Linked DNA regions of Oryzias latipes. The protein of the gene in region 2 interacts with the protein of the main gene of each other region in a biochemical or structural test. Links are inferred from orthologs where the notes say so. Each region holds a gene or a part of one and is shown on either strand. Other genes may lie near its edges.

Region 1 (2,763 bases), on a different chromosome or scaffold from region 2:
ATCAGACAACGTGCTGCTGGAGTTTGACTCGGGTGAGCTCTAGAACCAGACTTTGATTGGAAAAACACCTTATTTAACATCAGCTGCTCCACGGATTTGTCTTATTTTTGTTTGTTTTTATGCACAGATGGTTGCCCCCGTTTAGTGATCACAGACTTCGGCTGCTGTCTGGCTGAAAGTGAGCAGAGTTTGCAGCTGCCCTTCAACAGCCAGTGGGTGGACAGAGGGGGGAATGCCTCTCTTATGGCCCCTGAGGTATAAATACTTTATTTTTGTTTTAAATAATCTTCATATGGTGGTTTTTATAAAGAAGACTAAAGGACTGGCTTACATATGAGCATGTCTTAATTGTCATGGATCCCAATGACTGAGTGATCATGACTTCTGTTTTTATTCAAATGCCAAGTGTTTACGACCACCTGATCATCAAAACAGAAGTGGTTTATTAAGAAAATGTCTCTGTCATAATCATAAAAACATGCATTATCCATGCGAAACACCATGACTTCCTGTTTGAAGCAGGTCCAAAAACAAAAGTATCTGCTGCCAGATCAGGTTATCAAGTGACCACTTCCTGGCTTGTTGTAATATGTCCATTTCCATTGATTTCAATGTAAGATGCCCCAACCAATGATTGACGTTAGTAAAACGTAATACATTTATTATAAAAATCATAAAATTGTGTATTTTAGCATCAAGTAAAAGAGATAAAGATGGCGTAAAAAAGAAAAAATTGAGTCCCCAACATATTTCCCTGTGGTACTCCATAAAACTAAAATACAAGAGATGTATTAATTGGCTGTGTCACAGTTCACTTAGCTGTTTGATCACTACTTTACTAATTTGGATAGACCGTTTGGTGTAGTGTCTGCAGGCTGCAGGGGCTCATCGTCTCTCTGTGCGTTTCTGGCATTAGGTGGCCTCTGCAGTCCCTGGGCGCAGAGTCGTGATCGACTACAGCAAGGCCGATGCGTGGGCTGTGGGCGCCATTTCCTACGAGATTTTTGGTGAACCAAATCCATTCTACCATGCTGTTGGACTGCATAGCATCAGCTACCAGGAGAAGCAGCTCCCTATCCTGCATTCCAGTGCCCCCGCTGATGTGCAGTTAGTGATTCGATTACTCCTCAGGAGGAGTCCTACAAAGGTAAAGCAAAGTTTTTTTCAAAATGGTTGAATTCATGTAATCATTATTGTTAATAATTACATAAATAGGAGCAGATATAGCGATAATCTAATAAATTCAATGTGTTTGTCTTATCTCTGCCGTGTAGCGCCCCAGTGCTCGTGTAGCAGCAAACATGCTGCACCTCACCCTTTGGGGTCAGAGGATTCTGGATAAACAGGGAAATGCTGGCATGAGAAAGCTGGCTGAGTGGTTACTGTGCCAGTCTGCTGTGGTTCTGCTGAAGGGCTGCAGTGGACCTGCTGGGAACAGGGTGGAGGCGGAGCTTCAGAGGAACTTCCTGAGGAACCTGGAGCTTGAGGAGCTGCGCACAGCGATGGGCTTCCTCATCTACGGACGAAACCAGCACACGGCCCGCATCCCGTCTGCTTAGATGTCTTTAATTTTGCAACCAGAGCTGAGCAGATATCTATGATAGTTTTTCTGCGGTTATATGTTCTCAGACACTTTATTAAAGTTGGGAGGTTGTATATGCTGCTTTTGAAGTTGAATAATCCTGACGTATTAAAGACGCTCCTGATGCTTCTCTGAAACTGCGTTTACACCGGGCATGTGATGCGCGTTCAAGACGCGTTTTTGAAGGCACATTTAGCAGGAAAAAAACTGTTTTCCCCCCACTGTTTACTGACATGTCCACCACCAACAGTTGGAAATGTCAAAGCGGTGCAAATCCATGCTTTATTCCGACATACAAAAGACCTGGTGTCGTATAATTTTGGCTATTTCAGCTCGACCTGGTTTAACTTTCAACACGGGTTTAATGGCCGTGCGTTTTGTATGTAGAGCTCAAAAATTGTCTTTAAAATGTACGTAGCGACACGTGAATGCAAAGGTTTTAAGCGCTAGCCTGAAATGCGCATTTACGCGTGTCTATGTAGACTTTTTATTGGAAGTGCTGCTTGAACGCGCATTGCAGAGGGCGGTGTGAACATGGCTTTAAAGTTTTCATGCACTCTGATACTGTTGCGCCGCTCGAGGTTGACTCGCCTGTGCCCTGGATCCCCTTCAATGTACTTTAAAAAACGTTGCACTATTTTTCTCTGCTGTGTAGTCATAAAGGTTCACATTTATTTATCAGCGTGTGTGTCAGGTTGCAGTCCCTGCATGTCTCCTGCATGTTTAATGATCGATGTGACTTTGTTCCTGTTTGCACTTTTTAACAGAAAAACTAACAAGATTGTCAGTTATTATGGAATCACTCAGTAAATTTCGAAAAATAACTGTTGATAATTTGAGATTAAAGCGGGTTTGTAACTCCCAGGAAGTTATTCTATAAAAAGAATGTATAATTTATCTTCTTTCTCTTTCGGCTTTTCCCATCAGGGGTCGCCACAGCGAATCATCCTTTTCCACCTCACTCTATCATGAACATCTTCTACCCTAACATTAGCCAACTTCATGTCCTCTGTTAAGACATCCATATATCTCCTCTTTGGCCGTCCTCTTGCCCTCCGGCCAGGCAGCTCCATCTCCAACATCCTTCTACCAATATATCCACTATCCCTCCTCTGAACATGTCCAAACCATCTCAGTCTGGCTTCTCTGACTTTGTCGCTAACACAGGCAACATGAGCCGT
Region 2 (3,974 bases):
GCCGCATACGGTCACACCTGTATGGTCAGAACTGACACTTAGCTTTGCGTATGGAGTAATGTAATTAGATTCAAACATACACAATTGCCCTCCCCTTTTACCTCCCTTTCACCTGTATGGCGGCACCTGCCGTTTCCCAAAGGCATCATGGGAAATGAAGCTGGATCATCAAACCAGTTTGCCGCTGTGAAACACGATTGGATCGATCATCTGTGGTTTTCATCCACAAAACTGGTCCTTTAAACGACGAGCAGGTCCAAAACTGCATCGACACCGGACCCGTGAGCAGTTATCCAACTTTTGATCCATTTAGTTGATTGATGGTCAGAAGAACTTTCTGTCCCTGTTGGCAGTTTTCCCTACCTCGCTCCAGTGGATTGGGCTGATTAGGCCAGCCAGGCTGCTGATGCTGTGTTTTGATTGGCTGACGGTGTTCTTTGTTATCTGGCTGGCCAGTCAATCTTGGTTACTATAACAACAGTTTAATCATCAGCAGGCAGAAATGGGTGTTCTATTCTTCAAAATAAAAGCTTCTAGCAGAAATCCACGCTGGAGTCCGAGGGATGTGTCCCGGCGCTCCTCAGAGAAAACTATCTTGTCGGGTCCTAAGACGTCTGTTGGTAAGGTGGAATGTTCTGATGTTCCAGAAACAAAGTTGTCATGACAGCATTGGCTCCTCCTCACATATAAAGGTGTTCTTCGTGTTCTCCAGCTCCCGCCACGGTGTATGGAGCATGCTGATGAACTGGGACAGATGTTTGGTCAGTTCAAGCCTCTGGACTCCACGTTCATTTGGAGCAGCTCTCACCAAAATAAAAGCTTTTCCTGTGCCCGCCCAGGAACAGTTATTGAAAAAGAGTTGGCTTGGAGTTAATTTAATGGTGACATATTTATTTTGGTCTCAATGCCTATGACCCCCCCCTTTCACCAAGAGACAAAAACACTCAGTCCCTCCCACCATGTTCCAGTTTTGTTTCTGACACCTCTCCTGTCTACAGTTTAGACCAGTGTTGTGTTGGTTTGTTGCAGTGGGGGGGTGATGGTGGTTTTCATTGTATCGTGTTTGCCAATAGAATAAAGCTGTTGACATGTTTGTCTCGTCTTTGGAATAAACTTCTATCCAGGCTGTTTTTACTTCCTGCCTCCAGCAGGAGGAGCACACATGGAAGCACGGAGCCACAGGGAATTTTTGGGGATACCATCAATTGTAGATCCAGTCAGCTTTAAATTTAGGCAGAACATAAAGGTTAATCCAAAGTCAAACCACAGCTATAGAGCACATGGGAGACAATCTGCATACATACACCCTTTAAATAAGCCAATATTTCAAAATAATCGAGTGCAAGCTGACTTTATCTGTATCCTGTAGAAGGTTCCGGCTGAGGAGCGCGCGCCAGGATCTGCTGTCACTGAGGACACATGGATAAGTCATCCAACCTTTCCGATCAAAGATCGACTGTAGTGGATATTTAGTACCAGCTGCTATTTTCTAGATGTTTCAAAAACAACCACTGAATGGCTGTTGAGTTTATTCATCGTCAGAGTTTGAATTTTAATCGTGTTTTTTGTTAAGTACATACACTTCCGGTGTTGTTTACGTCACACTGTACAGCGGACCGACGCCGGAAACATAGGAGAAAATGTACTACAGCTCCCAGAATGCTTAGCGAATGAGAAGGCTGATGATCGGTGAGTTCCGAACCGGGTCCCCAGTTCCAAACCGGGATATCTTCGACTGACCAATCGCGCTGATCTTATCTGGTCTGTCCGCGTTCCCGTCAGTTAGATCGGTCCCGGGCCAACATTAAGCGCGGGTTTAAGATGGGGTCGGTTGGGTTGACGCCGGGACCTTGCACCGGCGTTAAACTGTAAACATACAGATACACAACATGAATGTGTTGAAGCTGCTTAGTTATTTATCATGGTTGATTTCCCAGAATTTTGTTAACAAAACAAGCGGACATGTTTTGTTTGTTGGCTTAACCTTATGTGACCGTCTACTTCTTCCCAAATAAATCCGCTTCAGCGTGACACTTCTGTAATTTATGTACATTTCCAAGTTGGCACAATACCACAAACACCACAAGTAATGCACAAAAATAGCAGTAAAAATAATAAAGGAATACAGTTTGTTTACAGACTTTTACAAATTCGTGTTGTCTTATAATACTGCTCTGACTGTCTCATTAAAATAACATGATCCTGACAGTAAAAACACAGCTCTGGATTTCCATTTTGCCATTAAACCTTTATTTAAGCCGTCTTTCTTAATCCACAAGTTTTTGTTTAACAAGTCTGTCTCTAATCTAATATTCATTTCTAAACTCCCAGAGAAAACTGCTGCAGATCAACTCTGTGAGCGTTTGAACAGAATAATTTGTGATGAGTTTTAGTCAGAATTTCCCATATCATAGCTCTGCTGAAGGTAACCATGACCTCATGGCTGCCTGTACTTGTGTCTGTGCATGTTCTTTTAGGCCTCAGTGCTGTTTGTTTGACATACTTGATTAGAACGTTTTGTTGCAGCTAATAGAATATGGCATTGTCAAAATGCTTCCAACACTAGTATGAAGCACAGAAAACATTTCCATTGGTCATTTTTGTCATGAGATGAACTTGAATTTCTGAAACATTTTCTACATACACAATATAACAATTTCTTTCAATTATTGCTGACAAAACTGCCTACATTTGTGATATTTAGCACTTCTGCTTTGCTGAGATGATCCATCTCACCTCACTGGTGTGCCATATCAAGATGCTGTTTAGACAGCATGATTATTGCACAAAAGACTGGCCTCAAAAAGAGGCCAGTCTGAAATGTGCCGTTTTGCTTTGTTGGGGGTCTGGGGACTCAGAAAGCCGGTCAGTATCTGGTTTGACCAACATTTGCGGCATGCAGTGCAACCCATCTTCTCTGCACAGAGTTCATCAGATTGTCAGGTGGCATGTATACTTTCAAGAGAATCTGAGACCAGCCACTCAGACAGCTGCTGAAACAATTGGTTCGCAAAACCCCAAAAAATCTCCACAGAAACCATCTCAGGTAAGCTCATCTGCATGCTTGTTGTCCTCATCGATGCTAAAGCCCGACTCCAGTTTGTTGTCATAACCGACTTGAGAGGGCAAATGCTCACATGACACATGGAGAAGTGCTCTCTTCACGAATAAATCCTGACTCATTCTCTTTACTGGACATGTCAGACAGAACAGAGGTGCATTTGATTGACAGCATTTTGAATGCACAGAGACCCGGTGGGCCGTTGTATCCCATACATCCAACAACATCACCCCATGTTGCAGCATGATATTGCACGGCCCTGTGTTGCAAGGATCTGAACACAATTCTTGGAAGCTGGAAAAACATCCCAGTTCTTGCGTGGCCAGCATCGTCACCGGACATGTCACACATTGAGTATGTTTGGGATGCTCTGGATCAGCGGATACGACCGCGTGTTCCAGTTCCTGCAAACATCCAGCAACTTTACACAGCCATTGAAGAGGAGTGGGCCAACATTCCCTTAATCGCAAACCTTATCAGCTCTGTGTGAAGGAGATGCACTGCATGAGGTAAATGTTGGTCACACCAGATACTGACCGGCTTTCTGAGTCCCCAGACCCCCAATAAAGCAAAACGGCACATTTCAGACTGGCCTTTTATTGAGGCCAGTCTAAGGCACACTTGTGCAAAGATCATGCTGAGGAAAAAGCATCTTGATATGGCACACCTATGAGGTGGGAGGGATTATCTCAGGAGAAGTGCTCACTATCACAGATTTAGACGGATTTTATGGACAATATTTGAAAGAAATTGTTATTTTTGTGTTTGTAGGAAATGTTCAGATCTTTGAAATCAGCTTAAGACAAACGGGAGCAAAAACAAAACTGTTGCGTTTATATTTTTGTTCAGTGTAGTTTCAAAGATTTCAAGTCTTGGATGACTTCCAATTTTCTTTCACTAACTCAGAAAACAG

Evidence for each region.
Region 1: of the proteins of prkn (region 2) and pink1, one has a biochemical effect on the other in vitro, tested with the Homo sapiens proteins (12 studies listed by BioGRID, with this or other methods). The link is inferred for Oryzias latipes from reciprocal best matches to the Homo sapiens genes PRKN and PINK1.

What each region holds. Positions count from the first base shown.
Region 1 is NC_019865.2:23,696,226-23,698,988, forward strand, and holds the end of pink1 (serine/threonine-protein kinase PINK1, mitochondrial), read left to right. Parts: coding exon 1-32; intron 33-127; coding exon 128-255; intron 256-916; coding exon 917-1,147; intron 1,148-1,274; coding exon 1,275-1,559; 3' UTR 1,560-2,263; downstream 2,264-2,763. UniProt on the Homo sapiens protein: Serine/threonine-protein kinase which acts as a sensor of mitochondrial damage and protects against mitochondrial dysfunction during cellular stress.
Region 2 is NC_019873.2:12,960,644-12,964,617, forward strand, and holds the start of prkn (E3 ubiquitin-protein ligase parkin), read left to right. Parts: upstream 1-1,174; 5' UTR 1,175-1,670; coding exon 1,671-1,689; intron 1,690-3,974. UniProt on the Homo sapiens protein: Functions within a multiprotein E3 ubiquitin ligase complex, catalyzing the covalent attachment of ubiquitin moieties onto substrate proteins. Substrates include SYT11 and VDAC1.